Oryza sativa Japonica Group: one gene and its partners. The main gene of each other region encodes a partner of the protein of the gene in region 3 in a complex. Links are inferred from orthologs where the notes say so. Each region holds a gene or a part of one and is shown on either strand. Other genes may lie near its edges.

Region 1 (2,713 bases), on a different chromosome or scaffold from region 3:
GATATAGATGGTGGTAATCAATACAAATTGTACTCTGTTTGCAAAACACTATATCATTATTGTTACTTCACTGTCTTCCTTTACCATCCTTTTAAATCTGCTGCTACACTTATTCCTGAGTAAGGCAGGTTATATAGAAGTAAAGGCCCTATCTTTTCATATACTCTTTCAAATAAACAAAAATCATGGGAAACCAGCTATCAGGCAAACGTAAACTACAATGCATAGATAGTTGCTGTGCGAAATACTGCGGGATTTTGAAGTCATGTCAGGAATAACGAACACTTGAACATTCATACTCTGTACAATTTACAATCATGAAAGCCTGGTTACCTGACTGTCATAGCCTCTTCGCTTCAAGAAGCAAGAGATGATAATTCAAGTTTGTAAAAAAAAAAATTAATCCTACCAACATAATGAACTATGGCAACTGGTGCCCTTGTAGGCATTTCACTAGCAATCCGGACCAAACGTGATCAAATTGATCAAACATATAGCAATTCAACAAAGAAGCTAAACTTTTATCTCCGAATCGTTTGTTTCATAGTGCCAATTCACACTAAGATTCCAACTGTACATATAGCAATTAACAACAACACATTTACTCACTTCGAAATTACTCATCGAATAGATAATATATATATATATACCCCTTTCACTTCCATCATCTAAGAAAATATAGATAGCTGTATACATACAAGAAGAAGCAGAAGCAGCAATGGTGGTCAAGCCGCGGCGGCGGTGCCTTCCTCCTCCTTCTTCTTCTTGGCCTCCTCTCCCTCCTCCTCCTTGGCCACATCGTCCTCCATCTCCGCGGCGAGGGACTCGAGCAGCACGGACTTAGGGTTCACCATGGGCGGGCCCTTCTCCCTCCCCTCGAGCTCGTCGAGATCGAAGGTGATGAGCCTGTCCCAGATCCCCCCCTCGAACAGCACCCCGACCTTGCCGTCGGTGACGCGCTGCACGATGCCGCAGTACATGTGGTAGGCGTTGTTGGGGTTCTTGACGAGCACCACCATCCCGGGGAGGAACAGCGGCAGCTCCGGCGCCCTCGGCCGCTCCACCGTGGCGGCGGCGGCGAGACCTTTCCTGTGCGCCGGCTTGGGGGGAGGCGGGTTCTTGGCGACGAAGTCCTTGAGGCCGACCTCGCCGCCGGGGAATCCGCCGGTGAGGCCCATCATCTCCTTGTCGAACGCGTCCGGGTCCACCCCGGACGCAGCCGGCGGCGGCGGTGGCGACTCCGCGGGCTCGTCGGAAGAAGTGGTGGTGGATGGCGGCGCGGCGGGGGAGTCGGAGGCGAGCTCCTTGCGGATGCCGACCTCGCCGTTGCAGAGACCCCGGCCGCCGAGGAGGTCAGCGACGCGGAAGGTCGCCGAGGGAGGGGGCAGGCGGACGATGCGGGGGTGGTGGTGGTGGGGCAGCGGCGGCGGGCGGAGGAAGGAGGCGGGGGTGGTGGGCGCCATTGGTGGAGCAGAGCGGAGCAGAGGATGTGTGGAAGTGACGAAGCCTTTAAAGCCTAGGTGGATGAGGACCGGGGGTGGCTAATGGGCGACTGGTACTGCTATACGGAGTACAGTATATACTTAAAGTACTACTAGTACTACTACCACTGTACTACTTTAAACTACTACTCCCTCCGTTTCATAATATAAATTATTCTAGCATTTATTACACGTTAACATCAATATGAATATGAAAAATACTAGAATGACTTACATTGTAAAACGGAGGAAGTAGTAGTAACTGGAGTACTACTAACTACTACTACTAAGGCTGTGTTTAGATCCAAAGTTTGGATCTAAACTTCAGTCCTTTTCTATCACATCAATCTATCATACACACATAACTTTTCAGTCACATCATCTTCAATTTCAACCAAAATCTAAACTTTACTCTAGAATAAACACAGCTAACTAGAACTAGTACTAGTACTACTAGTACTGGTAACTAGGACCACTACACCACTACTACTGTTATTATATACTACTAGTACTATTTAAAAAATATATTTTATATGTAAATATATACGCATATACAAAAGTTTATATATAACGTATAACAAAGTTTATGATATATATACAAACTTTATATATGTTCATTTTAAAAAATAAAAAAAAATAGAGGAAAACCATCACGTATATAAATTTTATATATACACTATACGCATATATATAAACTTTATATACGTATGTATATAAACTTTGTATACTGTATATACAAACTTTATATATGTGATGTTTTTTTTTTAAAAAAACAAAGAACCGAAGAAAACAACCATAAAAACCGGCGAAAAAAAAAGAACGCGGGCCTCCCACTGTGCGCGGCCGCCGCGCCCCCTCCCCCTCCTACGCGCGCCACGCGTCCATCCGCGCGGGGTGAGGGGGCACGCGACCAGTCGCCAATTAGGAATTTCGGATGAGGACCTCGTGTTTTTCGACTGAAAATTTTACATTTAAGCCCCTTTTTATTTTTTTTCATAAATAGGCCCCTAAAGTTACTATCCGTAAGAAATACTTCCTCCGTAAAAAAAAACCCAACCTAAGAGGAGATGTAGTGTCCAGATTCGTTGTACTGGGAGGGGTCAAATCCCCTCTTAGGTTGGTTTCTTTGGGATGGAGAGAATCACAAAATAACTCAATCTAGATTCGTTGTCTTAGAATATGTAACATCCTATCCTATATTGAGTTATTTTGGGACGGAGGGAGTAGACGAC
Region 2 (3,484 bases), on a different chromosome or scaffold from region 3:
GTCGAGAGACCTGTGTCGAAATAACTATTGTTAGTCTCTGATGACTGATGAGCTGATCGACGGAATACTACGAAGTTCTGCACCCTATACAAGTAGTATATACATGTGCTACCTACTGTGGTAGTGTGGTCTGTACTGTACGTTGAGTGCAGACTGATTGCTGCTGGTTCGCGGCCTGTAGTGGAGCAGCTCAAGTATGATCAGCGGTTCTTCTTCCTCGATCGAATGGCCGTGGCCGACGATGGCGTCCAATTCCCAGCGCGCGACCACCAGCGCAAGCAGGCCGAACTAACGGAGTTTTTTGGGCCAGTCCATCACCGAGCGGCCCGGTAAAGGTAGCCCATAATCGCTACCATTCTGTACTGGACCCAAATAAAGTTGGCCCGACACCGTGAGAGCCGACAGAACGAAAGCATATTGGATCGCCACAATTTGGTTGCGATCTGACAAAACTTCCGTCTCCACAGGGCACGTATATCCACCATGGTGTAGGTCTATATCAGTCGATTTACACAATTTATATATTTTGGAAGCAATATCCACCATGGTGAACGGTACAGGTTCTTTGATTAACATGGAGTAGTACATTCCTTCTTTTAGCCTACACTACAAATGCAATATAATGCATTCATGCAGACGGAGCACCTATTTGCTTTCCTTTTGAGTCTGATGCCAACATTTACAGGCGCTATCAGGCAACTGTGTATCTTGCTATTACACAGCCGCTCTGTACGGTATTACAGAATGCAGCCGCATCGCGCCATGATCATGCAGTCATCCATCCATGCGCAATCTCTCATTCATCCATCAGTTTGTAAGCTGCTCCTCCTTGGCTGCTTCCTCGAGTTCTCTGAGCCCTCCGACCCTCTGCTCGATCTCCTCGAGTAGCTCCTCCCTCAGGAGCTCCTCTCTTGCAGACGCCTCCAGGTCCTCTTGCTGCAGAATCAACCATGGGAGAGTGGAGATCGATCAGCAAAATGACTGGTTATCTTAGTAGCTTCGCACAACTAGAGTTTGTCTAATTGTCTGAATGTTCTTTCTTCGTGATAAAGGAAAAAAAAAAAGCCGTAATGAAAGACATACCCGGTCATAGTACCAGTGCACGGTGCCGTCACCCCCTTGTCCCCTGTACGCCTCACTGTCGTAGAAAGGATCCTGTAAATTCACACAAGACCGTGTCAGTAACACATATCGAAGATGTAATTTCGTTCCAAGTTGTAGTGGCATATGTTCTGCGTGCTTGCCTTCATGGACGCAAAGAAGCAGATGCCCCAGACTGTGAAGAAGGCGTAGAAGGTATCTACGAGACAGACAGAGAAATTTTTTTGTGAAAAGTTTCAGTTTCAGACGTAACAACAAACTGCAGGAAAGGTGAAACGACGACGACGACTCACAGACGCTCTTGAGGGCGGCGTCGCTGAGATGCCAGATCGACTTGTGCACGACGTAGTCCCTCTGCAGGTCGACGTGCTCCACCATCGTCACCATCAGCGTCACCACGTCCAACGGGGACGCGTTCGCCTTCACTGAACCCCTCCCGGCCGATTTCTGCAAACGCTAAGACCGCATTACTTTGCCTCACCAATCACCACGGATTTCTTCTTTCTCGGTGAAAAAATTAAAATGCACTGGGACCTTTCACCTTGCAACGGCTGGAGTTGGACCTCGGGTCATGGAATCCACCGAGCTGCAAATTTAACAACAACATTTGAACAAGTAGGTGAAATTCGCAAGGAATTCAGGAAAGCAGTTTTTGCATGAACGCGAAGGGGAGAATGGACGGTGCGGTACCGTTGCACGGCAGCGGCCATGGAGCTGGGCTCTGTTCGCGGAGTGAAGAGCAGAGAAGTGGGGGGACGACTTGAGCAGCGGCAACGCCATTGCTGGTAGGCTGCTGCTTCAGTAGCGGGTTGGCGATGAGCTTGTTGTTGTCAGTGTAGCGGGCTCACGTTTGGCTCAGGGGTGAAACCTGTAACCTGTAATCTGTATGGAAAATTTTAGTGGATAAGGTCAGACTTTTGGGTGGCCAACCATTGTCTGATCTTGGGCAGACGAAAAGCACAAGAATTTTGGGCTTGGTTGAAGCGGGCTTGAGCGTTGCTAGGCCTTGCCCGGTCAAGGTCATGTTTGGGCCGGATGGGATTAGGTTGACCCGTGGGCTCGTGGCCCGTTACGTGCATCCGTCCGCCATTTCTTGGAGGGCGCTACGGCTTGGCGTCCGGCATCTCACCAAAAATCGGACGCCCATGCAGGCATGTGAGAACGAACCCTGTCACTGTAACGTATGTGTCTAACTGCTTCTTTTCATTCTTTTCTCCTCTCTTTAGATATTTTTTATCCTAAATTACTTATCCAATTTACGATCCGATCACACCGTTCTATTCGTTGCAATTAAATCTTTACAATGAGATATCACATGATTATATTATGTCAAAAGAAAAACATGTATTTCAAAACGTTAAAACAAAATGTTTCGTACGTGATAGTGATATGTTTCAATATGTGTCATCGGTGTGTTTCACAAAATTCATGAAACTAACTGCTACTACTCTCTCTCCTCTCTCTCCACCTCATCCATGCACACATGTATGTATTTTAGCAAGCTTCAAAATAATTTTTCTCTTAAATTACTTATCCAATTTATGATCCGATCACACCATTATATTTGTTCTAATTAAATCTTTACAATAAAATATCACATGATTTTATTTTGATAAAAGAAAAATATATGTTTCAATTCGTTAATACTTGTTGTTTCATATGTGCCAGCGACATGTTTCAACGTGTATTTTCACCATGTTTCATAAAATACTTAAATGTTTCGGTTGTTGATTTTTTTTGTTTCACCATATATAACATAATGTTTCACTTGCTGGTCAACGCTCACCCCCGCACTGCCGCGCGCATACGCATGCATGTAGGCCGCCCATGCTGCATTGTTCACGTGCCACGTTGCTTGCCTCCCCTGTATGTGTTGCTTGCGCTGCTGCTTGCATACGCTCCCTCCCTCTCCCTTCTATTATTACATGTGCCTAATTTTTTCCTCAAATTTTAAATATTTTTTTCTCCAAAATTATATATTCTGATCTAAATTTCAATGATACCATTAGATTCATCATCATTAAATCTTTATAACAAGATCTCACATGGTTATATTTTGATAAAAATATACATGTGTCTCAAAAAATAACTTGTCTCACCATTGATAGAAAACTGTTTCATCACATGTACACAAATATTACAACTCACCTCGTGAATTGTTTCAAATTTAGAGAAATACAACAATTTACTAACTGAAACAATCACAACCACTACACAAAACGTTAAATACCAATGAGTGAAACATAAAAAAAATCATATGAAAAATAAAATATTTTTGCACAAATACTTAATTATGTTGAAATATTTTTAAATCGGACGCTACAAATCGTACGTTCAATATTTTTTCAAATATCGGAGCCTACCAATCGTACGTTCAATATTT
Region 3 (3,549 bases):
TGATCAAGTTCCTTTTCGCTCTGTTCAGCCAGGGGTCATGGTTCTGTGGCTTACCGTTTTGTCGGAGGAAAAATGTTAGGTGTCGCTGGCGCTGCTCTGAATGAGCGGAATGGTGACCTGGTCTTGACAACAAAATTTTAGTCTGAAGATTCAGATGACTAGCTTTGTTGAAACTCTAGGAACTTATTCTGGAAATAGTTAGCGGGTTTGGAGGGGAACTTATTCTGGAAATAGTTAGCAAGTTTGGAGGGCATTGTAATTGTTGTAATATATGAGTTGCAAACATTCTTTCTGAGGCCTGTGTACTTGATTCCTTTCGCCTCTGTAATGTATTGGTTTGATCGTGCACACGTCTGTATAGAAACGCTGTTGATCTGTTAAGTCCTTGGCTCCGGAGACTATGGCCTAATGGTCTGCCTTTTTAACTGATGGCTACTCGTCGCTTGCAAGTTGCAACTGATGGTTGAACCGATTCAATCAACATAATTAGATGGCTATAATAGAAAAATAGCTCTAATAGCATACACACAATTAATTAATTGAAGTCTATAAGGTAATTATGCATCCTTTTTCCTGGAAGCTGAGCCAGGGTGTTCGATCCAGCACTTTTTCTAGTGGTAGATCAGCGTCTGTATGTATGTATGTATCTACATGACTACGAAGCAATAAAATAAAAGATATTTCTGCAATTGAACTGCCTCCCATCACGCGGTGAGGTCGGACAGCTTGAAGGAGTCGGCGACGACTTTGAGCCTGTTCCTCAGCCTACTCCATCGCCGCTCGTTCGCCGTCACGATCAGTGTGTAGTACCGACCTGCCATGCCATTGCCATTGCCATCAGGTTAACCAGCTTCTTCTTATGAGAGGAAAAAAAAATACATGCATGATGAAATATACAATTTAATAGATGATGATGATATATATCTCTGCGATCTTGTGGTGAGGAGGCATCATATCAATATCATACCGTTTCCAATGGCAACCGTCGCAAATGCGGACACGCCGTAGCCCGGGGCCTCAAGATCGTACTCAAATGTCCAGTAGTTCTTGCCATCCACGGTGCGCTGCGAATCACAACAACTCAGTTGCTTATTTTGCTTGCAGAGTTGTTGCAGTCTTTGTTATAGCCATTCCAATGAGATCAGACGTAAATTAATCAGCGAAAGAGCAATGCAGCGACAGTTTGGTATACTCAGATAGATCATATGGCTAAATAGTATTGATTGAAGGAGATGGATAAATGGCAAACCTCTTGCATGTCATAGACAGTTGGTATTTGATTTGGAGCAGCATAAACATTGTTCACCAAATTGAAGATCGCCTGATAGAGGAGTATGTAAATTGTCAGAATAAAAAAAATCTATGATGTATAACAAAAGAAAAGGCTAAAAAAATTGCCTGATTCCTTTACATTACCAAGAAAGATATTATCAGATATCGCATGAAATCCTACCTCATCCATTGGACCAAGGTCACGGATATCTGTTTTTGTAGTAGGAATGAAGCCCACACGCACGCACTGCAGCGCTACATTACGATCTTTGAACGCTGAATCATGCCCCAGGAAGTCGAAATCCTGAAGTGACACATCAAAACAAAGGGCATACATCAATACCATGTACCACCGAAAACACAGTCATTGGAACTGACATCTCTGTTCTTCAAGACGAAAATATTGCAACCTACCCTCCAATCAGCTGGATACAGGTATGAATATCCATCTTTTGAATCCACATAAGACTTGTAATTCTTTGGCACTTCTGGAATATAGGAACAATCCGAGTTAGTATCATCTCATGGTGCCATAAAGGCTTAATGGCTACTTGAGAAGTGGGAACTTGTATGTAACATGCAGACAACCTAGTACTGAAATAAAACCATGCGACAGTTCAGATGGCCATGCCTTCAGCATATGCAGAGCTGCTCTTTAGCAGACCAGTGGCTAATGCTCCAGCACCAAGCAGAGCTAATCTCCTCCTTGTCACATCTGTAAGATGGAGAGATAATCAGCCAAAAAAAATGTTAATCTTCAGAAACAAAATGCATCGAGAGAACTGACAGAGAGGAATTTACTCTTTTCATCCGAGGATGCTTCACTCGAGCTAGCGTTGACGACTGACAGAGGAGACGCATTCAGCTTGCTGGTAACAGCACAATTTGGAGCAACCAACTGAAAACAACACCGATATAAAGTGGTGAAATAAACAAGATTCAGAAAACGATGAGAAGAGGGCACAAGCACACACCTGCTTGGAAACGGAGCAGATCAAATTCTGCAGGCTTGCCATTTCACCTGCAGGAGTAGCTATGAACCTGAAGAAAATACGTGTTCTTGCCTTCCTCCAGTCAAGTTATCCTTTGCTGCTAGGACTGGCTCGTTCGCTTTTCAAGTGTAGTCTGTGTGTCTGTGTGAGTGGAGGGCAAGGAAGCCAGGTCAGCATTTCCATTATCCTCATTAGAACTTTTGGCCTTGTCTCGTACTGAGCACTGACTGACAAAATGGGACCAATCCGTTCCTGTTGTGATTGTGGTGGAGATATGTGAGAGCTTTATGTTTTTCCAATTCTCTTTTTACCTTTTTTTTTGTACATTGACTTTGGCTGAAAAACAATATATGTACACACACACACACACGATCCTACCATCAGATCATGCGATACATATTCGATAGCTTCGATGTAACAAGAAAGATGATTTTGACTGTGCTTCAAACTTGGTAGATAAATAGTACAACAGCTGCGAACTAACGCATTTAGCCATAGCAAATAAGCAAAGCTGCAATTAGCAACCATAGTGCCACTAGCATAACAAGACTGAATTTGCTCCAGACTGTTCACAGCGAAAGGGGATGCTTGAAACAAAATTTTCAGGTTAACATAAATAATATACAACAGCAGCTAAGATATTTTGAGGCTAGTAGTTCTTTGGGGCAGGTTTCACTAAACCCAGTCCAGAACCACTCCCCAAATGCTTGAAATCTCTCGCCTCTAGACGCTCATCATGGGCAGCGAATCCAGTTCCTCCTTTTTCCAAAGGAACGAAATTCCTCTCCTTGCACGGTTTGTTGCACACCAAGCAGACCTTATCAGTTACAAGGAACTTGTCAGAGCACTTCTTGCAGAAGACATGGCCACACGTGCTGATCGTCACCAGGGACATGGTGTTTGTTAGGGTAGACTTGCAACTGGGGCACATGTAGCTCTTCTCCACCGACTTCTTGTTTTTCTGGTCGGTGTTTTCTTCAGTGAAGGAGATAGGGAAGAGCGATTTCAACTTGAGCTTCTCCTGTCCCTCGGGGCAGATTGTGTCAGTGGAGGGAGCTTCTACTTTGGCAGTAGCTTCAGGTGTAGCTGATGGAAGCCAGAATGCCTTCATGTTGCGAAGGGCTTCCTCCTCAAAGGAAGTAACCTTCACGCTGTTTGCTCCATGAAAACCATTCTTGTCTTCAGAGCCGCTGCGATCGTGGTATTGGGGGACGGCTCCATGATTCTGCTGATCAAAAGCGTCCAACTCCTTGGACTTTTGCAGCATACGCTTCTCATCCTCCTC
Region 4 (3,246 bases), on a different chromosome or scaffold from region 3:
ATTAACTCGTAAAAATAACATGCGTTCCAAAAGAGCTTCATAACAAAACAAGGTGGTAATAACATGTGATTAATTAAGTTTTAATTATTACAAATTTAAAAACTAGATTAATCTAATATTTTAGAACAACTTTCGTATAGAAAGTTTTCGCACGAAACACACCGTTTAACAGTTTGAAAAGCGTGCCACGAATATCAAAAAAAAAATATCCTCTCTTCCTAGAGGATTCAAACGGGGCCTAGTGATGGATTTGTGCGTACAGAAGAAGTATGTTCATTAGAGTTTAAATTCTGATATCCGCAGTTACACGTACAATGAGTATTCTTTCAGTAGAACTTTTAGTTATTTCATGCATTACGAACGTGTTTAAAAGAGACGTTCTCATGGGTATGTGCATCCGTTAGCCTATTCTATATCAGTATATCTCTAACATTTTTTTTTTGAAGCTTACAGAATACGATCAGATGGCACGATAATTAGCCATCTCAAAAAATGAATCTGAATAGCTCTGAATATCATCACTTAACTTTTGTTAAATTTTTCAGTTCAGTATAATTAATTTAGATGCGGAGCAACAGGCAACAGCAAATCGCCTCATATTGACATCTATATACAACACATTGTCATATATCACGAACCGACTGAAAACATCTGCAGATTAATCGTCGGAAGAACCGAAATAGGGGAAGAATCTGCAATGCAGGGAAGAAAACAACTGAAAAAACGCTAGTCTGGCAGGCCAAGGACCGATCTCCCACCCGATTGCTGAGCTAGCTTGAACGCAACCTTCGATCCTGTGCATATCATATTCTCTCGTAGTCGAGTTTATCCGACTGTAAAAATAGTGTTAAGATTAAGTGGTCAAATGATGGTACATTCTGCATTTTGGCAATGCTGCATGTGTGATGGACTTAGAGATACTGTAATTACCTTGATGAGCATGTAAGTTGGCAGCCATGCCGGTGGAGTTGGGATTCCAACCCAAGCGATCTGTCCAAACATATGAATGAGATTCAGAAGTCCAAATCTACAAAATATACAGAAGAAATGAAGTGGCAGGTGACTCACCAGGGCATACTCCCCTGTTTCAAAGATTCTGATGTCCAAAACCTGCACGGTAATGACGAACAAGATTATGACCGTAGCTAGAACGAAGATGTTCTTACTGCTAGGTTTAATTAGCTGAAATTAACTTCAGGTTCAGTAAGATGGGCTAAATAATTACCTCGCCACGGTCCTCGTATATGTAGTCTAGCCCCTTGAAGAAAGGCGGGTGTCCAACTGACAGATACTGAATCAATGAAACAAATTTTTAAAAAAAATCATGTGCAGGGGAGGAAATCATAGACTGAAATTACAGCACAAAGAGTAGAAATGAATGAAGCATCTATGCAGTAGCATCGATCAGTGTGCTTACGTTGATGCTGTTCAAGTACTTCTCCTTGTCGACGCGCACAATCTGGCCCTTCTTCACTGTGGCGCATCATCAACCAAATCAATTGGATGAAAATAAATGGATTGGTTAATCAAGTATAAACAAAAAAACAAACAAGAAGCTAAATGGCTTTGATGCTTGTTCAGAACTCAGAGCTGAAATGCAAAGTTGCAAAGCGTATTCATTACTCGAGTAGACAGGTTTCTTCTTGAGGATCTTCTTCGGCGCCGGCGCAGCCGCCTGGCCGTCTCCCGCCGCCGCCGCGGCGCCGCCGGTGGCGGGCTTTTTCTCCTCCCCGGCCGGCTCGGCGGCGGCGGCGGCCGCCTTGACAGGAGAAGCAACACGTCTCCTCCTCCTGGCTGACGCCGGCCAGCACGCGGTTGGCGTGACGGAGAAGAGAGCGCGCGGCGAGGAGAGGAGAGCTTCCATGGCGAGAAGCTTAGCTTTGGCAATGGCAATGGCAAAAAGCAAAGTGACGAAGTGCACGTAAATATGTGCCACATGAATTGCACGCGGCAGATAAGGTGACCACTGGGCCTGAGCTAGCGCTCTCAGTTTTGGGCCAACTGTCACAAAGCTTCAGGCCCAGCTCACCTCATTTGGGTAAGGCCCATATATGATGATTATATTATATGAATGAATTAGCAAAAGAAAAGAGAGAGAGAGATAGACAGAAAAAATAAAGGAGAATTGGAGGAGTCAAGGTCATGGATCATGACACCGTCTTAGATTGTTGTATGCTCGACCTCAGCGAATGAGCGAGCAAATGAGGAATTCCGCTTTAGTTTTATGTCGCTATTTAGCTTGGAAAGAGTAAACAACAGCGGCAAGTGGAAGGGAGAAAAGCGTTGAGAGCAATGCAAAGCCTAGCTTAAGCTTAGGAGGACACCCCCCCCCCCTTTTTTTTTTTTTTTGCAATGGTCATCTTCTACCTTTGCTTCTGCTGGTTTGTGGCACTTGTCGTAACATGCACAATTGACCGATGCCAAGGATCCTTCCTCCTCAAATGAATCCACCGCGTTTTCAACGTCCCCATCCATCCATGATCCATCCCATTTGACCTCTACTTTAGCAAAACATAGCAACCCTTCGAAAATATTCGATCAAACCGGCCCCACGCGTACCATTATTTTGTCTTGCGACGGTTGCGCTGGAAAAAAGCAAAAAAAAATCATGAATCTTCTTCCGCATGTCCAGGTAGTGAATGATCCGAGCATATCCTGGCCCCACATGTCAGTCTAACGAACACCCAGGCGACTCCTGCTTGGGTACGGCCTTTTGCCTTTCCCAGATGTATAACAACTGCCATGTGGAAACTGCCATTAATTATTATCTGTATGACATGTGGGGACCACCCGATGACCCTTCCTCCTACTCTGCCTCGCGTTTAAAAGGTCATCGCCTTTCAAGTCTCTCGCTGCGCCTGCGCGTTGCCGTCGAGTCCAACTACTCCATCTCACTGACAGATGGGCCATTCGCCCTCGCGCCACAATGCATGCGGCGGCGGCGGCGGCGACGGCGAGTCGCCGCCCTCGCCGCTGCCGTCTCGCTTCGAGCGGTTCCGCCGCCGCCTCCGCCTGCGCCACCGCGACCGCGCGGGGCGTCCCGGTGGCGACGCCCACGCCTCCGAGTCGGGGACGGGGAGGGCCATCGCCGTCGACGAGTTCGCCGGCATCGCGCGCATCCGGATAGTGAAGGTACGGGGCCGGGTTGGGTGTGTGTGCTTGCGGCTGCGAAGCGGAGGGGGGTGGAATTGGGGATCGGTGGTTTTGATTCATTCCGTCTGTGTACGCTGCTGCTGTGGTTTTGTA
Region 5 (2,906 bases), on a different chromosome or scaffold from region 3:
CGCCCCTCCTCACCGACGACGGCAAGTGCACCCGCCTCAACCGCGCCCTCACCGGCGCCCTCATGCTCCTCTGCGCTGCCTCCTGCGTCTTCTTCACGCTCACCGACAGCTTCCGCTCCCCCACCGGCCGCCTCCGGTACGGCATCGCCACGACGAGCGGCATCCGCACGTTCTGCGTCGGCGGCCGGCGTCGCCGGCGGGGCGGCGGGAAGGCGGGGCCGAGGGAGCCGGAGAGGTACAGGCTGCGGTGGTCGGACCTCTTCCACACCGCCCTGGCCCTCGTCGCCTTCGTCACGTTCGCCGCGTCGCACCACGACATCGTGCTGTGCTACTACCCCGGCGTGCCCAGGAAGGTGGTGAACACGGTGCCCCTCGTGATCGGCTTCGTGGTCAGCCTCCTCTTCGTGCTCTTCCCGTCCAAGAGGAGGGGAATCGGGTACCCGTTCCTGCTCAGCACCGACCTTGTCTACCTACGCCGCTGATGAGACGAAAGGATCGCATGGTCTTCTGATGGATTTGTATTATGTGAAAGTTTGATTTTACATGGTTGTCTTGGGGTAATTTGAGCCAAAATGTATGTACATTCTTCATTGCCTCTCTCAAGTGAAGTACAAAGCGGGAAACAATGTGTGTTGGATGAGATATATATCAAGTAACTTTGTTTCAGGCTGCCTGTTAATGGTCTTGATCTTGTTCATTCCTCTGCGTCAGGGTCCGGCTCAAGGCCCGCGATTTGCTTCAGCGGCTTCCACACAAATTTCCTCCTGGGCCAAACAGGGCACAGAATTTAATTCAGAGATCACAAGAACACATCGTCATCATTAATTTCGGGGTTCAGGTTTACGTACCAGTTGCCGCATTCCGCGATCACCCTGACTTTGGGGCGGATGTCAGGGAGAATGGCGAGGAACTGCAGCTCGGCCTTGGAGAGAACCTGCAGAAATAGAAACCACCAAACAAATTAACGGGACGCAGAAACGAAACGGGAAATTGCAGAGCTGAGCTAGAGAACAGGATGGTGAGATCGATGGATCAATGGATGGAGACCTTGGCTTCCATGACCCAGACGACGAGGCCCTTGGCGTCCGGGTGCAGCAAGCTGAGCCTGTAGTCCACCTCCGGCGGGAAGTACCACCTCGCCACCGGCTGCCTCCCGAGGCTCGGCTGCGCACATCAGAGCAATCAAGCAAGCAAGCTCGTGTCAGCCATGATCGGAGGCAGCTAGCTACTAGCTAGCTCGAGATCGAGATCGAGAGAGAGGATTGTTTTGTGGACTGACCGGGCAGACGGGGTGGATCTTGGTGAGGGTGGTCTCGGGGTCGCCGAGGCCGCGGGCGGAGAGGTCGAGGAAGTAGTAGCCCTGGTAGCTGAGGCGGCTGAGGTAGCGGCCCTCGTAGCCGCCCTCGTGCGGCGGGTAGATGGCCAGCGACTTGTGCTTCTCCACGTCGTCCAGCCACCGCCCCATGTCCGGCTTCACCAGGTCCCCTCCCACGAAGTCCCACAGCCCTGCCCGCGCCGCCGTCGTGCTCGCCGCCCGACCATTGCCCACCCGCGCCCACGCCCCGCGCCGCTGCTGATGCTGCTGCAGGGGCGACGCCGCCGGCAGCGGGGTCACCGTGCGCGCCGCCGCCGCCGACCACATCGCTGGTTGCTGTAGTGTAGTGTGTGTGGGTGGGTGGGTGTCGTTTGTTTGAGCCTGTGGCGGGAAGATAACAGCCGCGCGCGTACTGACCGCGTTGAGCGGATAAGACTCGGAGACGGTGTCGTGCGCCCAGTTTGTTCAACTGAGCGGTGATCTCCGCGGAGTCCACCCAAGCGGATGGTCCGAGACGTGGCCCAAGCATGTAACCACGCTAGATCAGGCCCAAATACGAACCCCAACACCAGAAAGCCGTAACCCGTAAGTTCCATTGATAGAGTAGGAAAAAAAATACAAGATTACAATGTTGTAATATTGTAACCAAGAAAAATGAAAAAAAGTACATCACCACCCACACACCGATAGCACCAACACAAAATCAAGATAAGGCTATCACCGGGCCAGCCGCCGCTAAGCGTGACCGACCACCACTAGGCCAACAACGAAACACAGCCGAGATTTTGCCCAAACCCGACCCTTACAACCAACGCAAAACCACTCTATCCAAGTCTTCGGGATTTAGGGAGAGGGTGAGAGAGAAGAATGAAATTCCTCTTCCCTTAGTCCCTTCGACATGGCCAACTTGCAGAAACTAGAACGCTGTCACAAGAGGATGAGAATCTAGAGTGAGCTTGCACCAAAAGCTTGAGGGTTTCAACAAGGTGATGCCTAGACGATGTTTCTAGTTTCTACCACGAAAACGGAGAGAAGTGATGAAACATCGCCGCCACAGTCTATCAAGATCTCAAATCGAACCAAGACTAGGCTTTCGCCCGACAACTACACTTGAGGGTGAGATGGCATAACAACGGCCTTAGGAGGGGAATGACGCTCGAACATCATCGTTGCTGGTCTGGCCAAGACCGGGCTAGGATTTCACGCAGCCTCCCGCACCTCCACCGCCGTCACCGTCGCCCACAATCGTCGCCGTCCGGATCCGGCCGTAGTGGCGCCGGTCCTCGCCCGCCGCCGCTAGATCCAGGCACGGATCTAGCGGTCTCCTCCTCCGCCGCCGCCAACACCTCCAATCGTTGCGCCCGACCACTCTGCCCCACCGCCAGATCCAGCCGGGCGTAGAGATGGCAATGGGGGCCCGTTCACCATTTCCCCGCGGTGAATTCACCTATTAGGTGACAGGGGATGGTTAATATCCACTCACCATGGGGAATGAAATGGTTAAAAACCTCTCACCATCGGGGATGACGGGGGCGGGGACGGTGAACCATTCCCCGTCCCCGCCCTCCACTGTGACCCGACTGTACTGTAC
Region 6 (3,093 bases), on a different chromosome or scaffold from region 3:
CTGCGTGGAATTGTACTCTGCAGTTTAGTACAACACAACTACCTAAGTAGCATGATGACATTAGTACTTAATGCAGCGATGGCATTTTTCTAAAAAAAGATTGAGATGCAGTTTTGTAATTGGCAATTTTTGAATTGTATGACACTCTTTTGCAGAATAATGCACATGAAGATCAATTCAGGCCATGGGTTGATGTTTCTAAAGACCACGAGGTTATTCCTTTGATCGATTGAGATTTACACATTGCAGCTGGTCAAACCCTCAAGTCCAAAACATTAAACATCTATTTGCGGGAATGACTCTCTTAAGGGTGACGTAATGTCATCAGCAGAGATTGTCTCGTATCTATATGGAATGAGATAAATAAATATATTGCCAATGATCGAGAAATAATTCCCTATTGGAATATGCGCACATCCTCTTTGCAAATAATTTAACATTGAGTTTTGCCTGTGAATTTGAGGGCTGGATTCCATGTTCTACCTGATCTCACCATCATAAAGCAATAAAGCAGTGGTGTTATTTCAATGTGATTGGATTACCTGAAGTATCGACATTTTCACACCGCTAATACTCAGCAAAAACCATAGAACGGAAATGCCATGAAACTAGAGTGCTAGACCCTTCCTTAGTCTTCACGACAGGGTAATACCCTCAGTTTGCTCAGCTTCTCTTTATGTAACCATGTTGGAGTCGACAAAATTATTATCGACTGTGAATGTTCTGCTTTTGTATGAACCCGATTTGAGTTCGGAAATACCCTAGCTCATGGCTCTTCTGGAAGAGCAAAATATACATTGGGCATCTTTGAACGGGAAAATCATTGATAGTTACATGCTTTCTCTTTAGGGTACAACACGCATTCTATTTTACATCTGGGATCTGGCTGCTGTTGAATTTGATCCTTGGTTTGCCCATGCTGAAATTGAGGACTCTAGACATCATGTTGTACTTTATCTCCCCATCGTATAGCAGTTTGCGGATGAAGTGCTCAAGATCAGATCCGATCAAACGAAGCGTGTACTCTGACAGCTCCGCGCCCTGTAAATTCAATCCAGGTCAGTTAAGCAGGTACTACCAATTAAGCTCTTACAACTAACATTTCCACCTGGAGAAAGAGACCATGGGTGTACACTACTGCTACCCTGCATTTGCAATTGCCAATTCTGCCTATGAGTTACGGTGCGTAGTATACCTCGTAGTGATCGACGAGGTCCTGGAACTCGTCGTAGACCTTCTGGCACGTCTCGTCGGTCCAGACGAACTCGTCGGTGGGGTCGAGGAGGAGGGTGAGCTTGTCCATCTGCGTCTGGTCGAAGGCGTTGGTCTCCGGGTTGATGTACGCGGCGTAGATGCGGATGTGCCGCGTCGTGCAACTCAGCCACTGCCCGCCGTACTCCCGGCTCATGTTCTTGCTCTCCGCCAGCGGCTGCACCGGCAGCGGCTGCGCCGGCCCCTGCCTCCTCGTCTTCCGCTCCCGCCTCTGCTCCTCCTCCTGCGGCGGCGGCGGCAGGTTTTCCACCGCCGCCTCCTCCTCCTCCTCTTTCACCTGCTGCTGCTGATCTTGGGCTCGCACCGGCGGGAACCTGACGCTTCGTCGCGCCGTCCACGTCGCGCGCGGGAGCCGGCGCTCGAGCGACAGCTTGGCCGGGGACAGGAACGGGGACGCCGTGGTTGCCATGCTGCGCGCAGCTGTTTCGCTTGGCTTTGGCTTGGCTTGTGTTTGTGTTGCGTGGGTGGTGGTGGTTTTTTTAGGTTTGCTGCGCCTGCGCGCGCGCGGCTAAGCTGCCGTGCCGTGCCGCCTTGGAGCCACTGGCTGTGTGTGGCTTGTGTGGATAAGGGCTATTTCTGGCACTGGGTTTCAGCGACTCGTACATGTTCTGGGCCAATTGACCACACAAATGTATTGGGCTGTGGACGTTGGCACGGCCTGTTGCATTGCATGACAGAGCTGAGCAGCACGCGCTCTCGTGTGGTATGGATAAATACTGTTGCATTTCTGACAAAACTTTGTATGTGACTGTTTTTTTATAACTCCATGTGGTGTGACGGTGATTTCATACTTAAAGAAGTAACCCACTTTTCCTCGGCACAGCAAAAGCAGAGGATACGCATACTCCATGGCCTTTAAAATAACGAGAGTAATTTTTTTTCCTTTTCACTTTGTGATGATCGCTTCACATGAAAGGCAAAGCAAAAGCCTCTGTAGTGATTTTAAGCTTTCTCAGGCGGGAAAAGTCTGTTCAGGATTACTCCATCCGTCCTATTTTAAGTGCAACCATAAATTTCCGTGTCTAACTTTGATCATCCGTCTTATTTGAAAATTTTTTATAATTAGTATTTTTGTTGTTGTTATGTGATGATACAACATGAATAGCACTTTACCCGTGACTTATGTTTTTAATTTTTTTTAAATAAGACGGACCGTTAAAATTAGGCGCGGAAAATCATGGCTACACTTAAAATGGGACGAACAGAGTAAAATACTTGGGAGACATGTACGTCGTACACCGGAGACTTGGAACACTTAAAACACTTTATTATATATAAACAACTTGTTCATATATATATATATATATATTGGGCAGTAATGTAATCTTGGCAGCAATCAATTACTACAACTAACGTGTATGCATGGTGCAGCAAATAGAATACTTACAACTAACGTACGAATGAACCAATTCAAACGAATGAAATTTAATCATGTATTTATGTACAAAGGAGAGACATAAGAACGTAGCTCGAGCTAGCCATGGACATTGGTCTGCATCGCCGGCGGCAGCAGCTCAGGAAGCCCGGGCGTCGATGCAACGATGAGGGGTATCACGGGGAGGTTCTCGCAGTTGCAGACCTCGATCATATTGCCGTCGGGGTCGTGGAAGAAGAGCTGGTCCACCACCGTCTCCCCGTCCCACACTTTCCTCACGACGAACTCCCGGTCCATGGCTCGTAGCCTCGCCTTCATGACCGCCATGTCTGAGCACTGCCATTCGCTCAAATCGAGTTAAGACAAATACGAACTCTGCTCTCGAACATAACAGTAGCTGATCGACCTGCGTGCATGCGACTGATACCTGGAAGGAAACGTGGTTT
Region 7 (3,614 bases), on a different chromosome or scaffold from region 3:
CGCGCGGCTTGCAACGGGCGGCGTCCGCGCGGGCGCGCGCACGCGAACACAGCGCGCGGGAAGCGGCAGCGAGGGAGCGGTGAGGGAGGACTTGGCTCGGCGCGGGCGGCTTACGCGTGCTGGCTCGCGGGGCCGAGCGGAGGGGCGCAGGGCGCGGCTCTCGCGCTCGCGCGTGGCGCGCGAGGGAGGGGCGCTCGGCGCGGCGACGCGCGCTCGCGCGCGCGGCGCGGGGCGGAGCGGAGGGAGAGAGGGAGAGAGCGGGGGCGCGCCGGGGAAAGCGAGAGAGAGAGCCGGGAGAGAGAGGGGAAGATGGGCCGAGGGAAAATCGGCCCATCGACCCTGGGGGAGGCAAAATGGACTTTTGCGGAGGAATTTGATTTGGAGGGATTGGATTCGGAATTGAACTCGACGATAGATCGGGGATTGAGATCTTGAGATGGCACGGATACTAGACAACAAGCAAAGAAACAAATTTCGCAATTAGGGTTTTTAAGAGATAATTTCCCCGCTAGGCGCCACGACGGAACGGGCGCTACAGCAGGTCTGGCGAGGGGGGCGGGGAGGCCGGCGAGCTCGCCCTCATCCCACCTCCAACCCCTCCCCGCCTCCTCCCTCTTCGTATGCACTCGCTGCCGGCCTCCCCGCCTCCTCCCTCTTAGCATACGCTCGCTGCGGGAGCTGTGGGGGATGGCGGCGTTCTGGCTGCAGGCCAACCCCATCCTCGTCGGTGCCGCACCAAGTTGCCACATCGCCACCCGTCGCCAGCTGCCCTACCAGCCTCCTCCGCAATCCGCACCCGCTGGCCGCCCTGAGAAGAGAGAGAGGGAGGGAGAGGAGGGGAAAATGGGAAATAAGAGAGAGGTGATGATATGGCATCTTACATGTGGGACCCACGCGCTGACTCAGCCGTCACGTCAAATAAAACCGGGGTCAAAACCACCGAAGGATCTAAAGTGAACGGTTTTGTTAGTTGAGGAACGCCTGATATCTGGTTTTGCGGTTGGGAAACGATTTTGTAACTCGATGACAAGTTGAGGGACCTTCGGTGTACTTTTTCCTGGAATCATCTGTCGTTCCACGGGCCACGGCCGCCGTTTGGCGACGAGACACGCGGCTTGGCCCGCAAAAAAAACGAGGATTCCTTCCTCGGTCCTCGGGTGTTGAGTTGGGAAAGCCCATGGCCCGTGACGACGTACGCGGGCGTTTATAACGACGCGACAGAGAGGTGCCCGCGTTGCAGCAGCCACAGTTTGGGGATAATCCGATTCTCTACTCCCCAAGTGACTCACTCACCGATGGCGCCTCCTCCTATCTCCTCCTCCCTCTCGCTCATGGCCTCCAACCCAATCCCGTCGCCTCCGGTCGCCAAACCGGGCAGGCCGCTCACCGTCGCGGCGTGCAGCAACAGCAGCAGCAGCTCCTCCTCCTCCTCCCCGTCGTCGACCTCGTGCTCGGCTGCCTGGAGTCTCCCGGTGGCGACGTCGGCCGGCAGGAGGGGGCTGCTCGCGCTGGGCGCGGGGTTCCTGGCTTCCCCTGGGCTTCTGTGCCCCGCCGGCGACGCCGGAGCGACGCGCATCGAGTACTACGCGACGGTGGGGGACAAGCTGTGCGACATGAACGTCGTCAAGTCGGGGCTCGGCTACTGCGACGTCGAAGTCGGCACCGGCGCCCAGCCCCCGCGCGGCCAGCTCATAAATGTCAGTTCCGACAGAAGAGTTTCTCGCACTTTCTCTAGAAGAACCTGTGTTTTCTGAATATGATTAACTCCTGTATGGAGTAATTAAGCATTGGCAGATCATAAATTTGCCCAATTTGCATCAGTACCGATCCTTTAGTTAGTTCGACAACGAATAAACCTGCCATTTTTTTCTCGCCATGACACTGATAGGAGTTTCAAGTGTGTTAATTGGAGTTGTGTTCATGGTTGTAAGGTACACTACACTGCAAGATTTACTGACGGGATAGTGTTCGACAGCACCTACAAGCGAGGACGGCCACTGACAATGCGCCTTGGCGCAGGCAAGGTGCGCAGCTTTTGTTCATTGCACGTACATCTTCGATCGTAGCAAGCATCTTATGTAGTTATGCAAGGAATCTTATTGTTTGGTTCGTTCGCATTTTCATTCTCAGATCCTCCGAGGGCTTGAACAGGGAATCAGTGGTGGCGGTGGTGTGCCACCCATGCTCGTTGGTACTGTCAGAAATCCAGAAATAATAAGCATATGCATCTCTTTGTGTGTCAAATGCTAAAAATATAGTACTGCTTTTATTTTTCTTAATCACATCGTGTCTCTGTTGAAAATCGCAATAACATTACAGGTGGAAAGCGCAAGCTTATGATACCTGCAACTTTGGCATACGGACCTGAACCAGCAGGTTGCTTCTCAGGTAATAACGAAAGAAAAAAAAAAGTAATCAAACAAGTAATCTTAATTTAATTCTAGAAATTTGAGACCAGATTAAGTTTCATGTATTTAACGATGTTTCAGTGCTATCTGTCTGGCTCCCTTATTAGCATTCGCTAGAAAAAATATACAAATTTACAGAAGATTTACTTATTTAACAGGAGACTGTAATATTCCCGGCAACACCACACTCCTATACGACATCTTCCTGGTTGGATTTTACAAGTGAGCATATGATGAAAAGGAATATGCATGACTTGAACAGACTAGGTGCAAACAAGGTATGGTGGTGGTATTCTGAACCTGTCTGATTTTTTTTTCATCTGAAAACAGTATCCCTTGCCTAAAGGGGTTGTTGTTTGTTACATAAGCATGTTACATTCTCTGGCAGATTTTCGAGTAAATTTTGGCGTTTCATACAAGAGGCGGGACTACGGACAGATGAAGAGAAAGGGTGCGACATGCCTAAGCCCAGACGCCGAAAGCAAATGCGTCACCGGAGCTCCTTGGGTCTCCAATACGCAGAGTACTACATTTGCAATCTGTACCAAGAAGTGAAAGGATATATAACAAACCGGTCCTCTGATATACTATCAAATTGGTCTTATGTTTTCTAGAGAAGAAAAGTCTTGTGTTTGTGTAAGTATAACGTTGTAAAGACATGTCTCATTATTCATACTGTCATTGGTACAGCCAAACACAACAAAAATTCCCATCCTTTGTGGCAAGTCCTAACTAAATGAAGTTGAACTCTGACTGAATATCGATTGACTGGTGACTTCCAAACCTTCAACAGTTCAAGCAAGCTAATCGACTGTATCAATACTAATGTACTCAAAAAAATGTCGAAAGTTCGTGTCAAAGCACATGTGCAGTAGTAGCTTTGAGCCTTTGACTGCTGTCTGCACTGCAGTATTGCCACAAGATAATTTAATCATAGGTTTGTTAACCATCAAATCGAAACATGCATTGTTCAGACTTCAGAGAATATCCTAAAATCCTTTTATGAAACCAAAGAACACCCAAATCGTGAGAGTTGAACTATCGATTGACCGGTTCAGAGCCAGAACTGGTAGGTGAATGAGGGAAGAAAAGGAGAGCTGCCATTTCCGTGGCAGGAAGACTCAAGAATTCCAAAAGCTTCTTGTCGGTTTAAAACGAAAACCTTTTTCGTCAGATGCTCTGAATGCTGCTCGGTGTCATGAAATT

Evidence for each region.
Region 1: photosynthetic NDH subunit of lumenal location 1, chloroplastic (region 3) and NAD(P)H-quinone oxidoreductase subunit S, chloroplastic share a complex: the UniProt entries of both Arabidopsis thaliana proteins name them as parts of the chloroplast NDH complex. The link is inferred for Oryza sativa Japonica Group from reciprocal best matches to the Arabidopsis thaliana genes PnsL1 and NdhS.
Region 2: photosynthetic NDH subunit of lumenal location 1, chloroplastic (region 3) and photosynthetic NDH subunit of subcomplex B 4, chloroplastic share a complex: the UniProt entries of both Arabidopsis thaliana proteins name them as parts of the chloroplast NDH complex. The link is inferred for Oryza sativa Japonica Group from reciprocal best matches to the Arabidopsis thaliana genes PnsL1 and PnsB4.
Region 4: photosynthetic NDH subunit of lumenal location 1, chloroplastic (region 3) and NAD(P)H-quinone oxidoreductase subunit O, chloroplastic share a complex: the UniProt entries of both Arabidopsis thaliana proteins name them as parts of the chloroplast NDH complex. The link is inferred for Oryza sativa Japonica Group from reciprocal best matches to the Arabidopsis thaliana genes PnsL1 and NdhO.
Region 5: photosynthetic NDH subunit of lumenal location 1, chloroplastic (region 3) and NAD(P)H-quinone oxidoreductase subunit N, chloroplastic share a complex: the UniProt entries of both Arabidopsis thaliana proteins name them as parts of the chloroplast NDH complex. The link is inferred for Oryza sativa Japonica Group from reciprocal best matches to the Arabidopsis thaliana genes PnsL1 and NdhN.
Region 6: photosynthetic NDH subunit of lumenal location 1, chloroplastic (region 3) and nAD(P)H-quinone oxidoreductase subunit M, chloroplastic share a complex: the UniProt entries of both Arabidopsis thaliana proteins name them as parts of the chloroplast NDH complex. The link is inferred for Oryza sativa Japonica Group from reciprocal best matches to the Arabidopsis thaliana genes PnsL1 and NdhM.
Region 7: photosynthetic NDH subunit of lumenal location 1, chloroplastic (region 3) and photosynthetic NDH subunit of lumenal location 4, chloroplastic share a complex: the UniProt entries of both Arabidopsis thaliana proteins name them as parts of the chloroplast NDH complex. The link is inferred for Oryza sativa Japonica Group from reciprocal best matches to the Arabidopsis thaliana genes PnsL1 and PnsL4.

Annotation. Positions count from the first base shown.
Region 1 is NC_089041.1:5,276,820-5,279,532, forward strand, and holds NAD(P)H-quinone oxidoreductase subunit S, chloroplastic, read right to left. Parts: upstream 1,555-2,713; 5' UTR 1,464-1,554; coding exon 726-1,463; 3' UTR 501-725; downstream 1-500. UniProt on the Arabidopsis thaliana protein: NDH shuttles electrons from NAD(P)H:plastoquinone, via FMN and iron-sulfur (Fe-S) centers, to quinones in the photosynthetic chain and possibly in a chloroplast respiratory chain.
Region 2 is NC_089036.1:31,695,870-31,699,353, reverse strand, and holds photosynthetic NDH subunit of subcomplex B 4, chloroplastic, read right to left. Parts: upstream 1,988-3,484; 5' UTR 1,882-1,987; coding exon 1,792-1,881; intron 1,688-1,791; coding exon 1,643-1,687; intron 1,549-1,642; coding exon 1,395-1,548; intron 1,301-1,394; coding exon 1,245-1,300; intron 1,156-1,244; coding exon 1,084-1,155; intron 937-1,083; coding exon 808-936; 3' UTR 501-807; downstream 1-500. UniProt on the Arabidopsis thaliana protein: NDH shuttles electrons from NAD(P)H:plastoquinone, via FMN and iron-sulfur (Fe-S) centers, to quinones in the photosynthetic chain and possibly in a chloroplast respiratory chain.
Region 3 is NC_089037.1:9,604,824-9,608,372, reverse strand, and holds photosynthetic NDH subunit of lumenal location 1, chloroplastic, read right to left. Parts: upstream 2,409-3,549; 5' UTR 2,289-2,408; coding exon 2,247-2,288; intron 2,171-2,246; coding exon 2,074-2,170; intron 1,988-2,073; coding exon 1,904-1,987; intron 1,761-1,903; coding exon 1,687-1,760; intron 1,577-1,686; coding exon 1,454-1,576; intron 1,322-1,453; coding exon 1,250-1,321; intron 1,065-1,249; coding exon 968-1,064; intron 815-967; coding exon 705-814; 3' UTR 501-704; downstream 1-500. Other genes in the region: E3 ubiquitin-protein ligase CSU1, read right to left, coding at 2,914-3,549. UniProt on the Arabidopsis thaliana protein: NDH shuttles electrons from NAD(P)H:plastoquinone, via FMN and iron-sulfur (Fe-S) centers, to quinones in the photosynthetic chain and possibly in a chloroplast respiratory chain.
Region 4 is NC_089035.1:42,963,003-42,966,248, reverse strand, and holds NAD(P)H-quinone oxidoreductase subunit O, chloroplastic, read right to left. Parts: upstream 1,930-3,246; 5' UTR 1,865-1,929; coding exon 1,624-1,864; intron 1,474-1,623; coding exon 1,418-1,473; intron 1,292-1,417; coding exon 1,226-1,291; intron 1,111-1,225; coding exon 1,069-1,110; intron 991-1,068; coding exon 931-990; intron 834-930; coding exon 804-833; 3' UTR 501-803; downstream 1-500. Other genes in the region: phosphatidylserine decarboxylase proenzyme 2, read left to right, coding at 2,902-3,132. UniProt on the Arabidopsis thaliana protein: NDH shuttles electrons from NAD(P)H:plastoquinone, via FMN and iron-sulfur (Fe-S) centers, to quinones in the photosynthetic chain and possibly in a chloroplast respiratory chain.
Region 5 is NC_089035.1:38,936,210-38,939,115, forward strand, and holds NAD(P)H-quinone oxidoreductase subunit N, chloroplastic, read right to left. Parts: upstream 1,748-2,906; 5' UTR 1,643-1,747; coding exon 1,280-1,642; intron 1,165-1,279; coding exon 1,048-1,164; intron 935-1,047; coding exon 849-934; intron 765-848; coding exon 695-764; 3' UTR 501-694; downstream 1-500. Other genes in the region: protein DMP7, read left to right, coding at 1-482. UniProt on the Arabidopsis thaliana protein: NDH shuttles electrons from NAD(P)H:plastoquinone, via FMN and iron-sulfur (Fe-S) centers, to quinones in the photosynthetic chain and possibly in a chloroplast respiratory chain.
Region 6 is NC_089038.1:27,480,329-27,483,421, reverse strand, and holds nAD(P)H-quinone oxidoreductase subunit M, chloroplastic, read right to left. Parts: upstream 1,722-3,093; 5' UTR 1,682-1,721; coding exon 1,196-1,681; intron 1,042-1,195; coding exon 865-1,041; 3' UTR 501-864; downstream 1-500. Other genes in the region: uncharacterized LOC4336531, read left to right, coding at 156-233; uncharacterized LOC4336529, read right to left, coding at 2,747-2,983, 3,075-3,093. UniProt on the Arabidopsis thaliana protein: NDH shuttles electrons from NAD(P)H:plastoquinone, via FMN and iron-sulfur (Fe-S) centers, to quinones in the photosynthetic chain and possibly in a chloroplast respiratory chain.
Region 7 is NC_089036.1:32,085,314-32,088,927, forward strand, and holds photosynthetic NDH subunit of lumenal location 4, chloroplastic, read left to right. Parts: upstream 1-1,220; 5' UTR 1,221-1,295; coding exon 1,296-1,697; intron 1,698-1,931; coding exon 1,932-2,024; intron 2,025-2,130; coding exon 2,131-2,191; intron 2,192-2,319; coding exon 2,320-2,388; intron 2,389-2,566; coding exon 2,567-2,634; 3' UTR 2,635-2,686; intron 2,687-2,796; 3' UTR 2,797-3,114; downstream 3,115-3,614. UniProt on the Arabidopsis thaliana protein: NDH shuttles electrons from NAD(P)H:plastoquinone, via FMN and iron-sulfur (Fe-S) centers, to quinones in the photosynthetic chain and possibly in a chloroplast respiratory chain.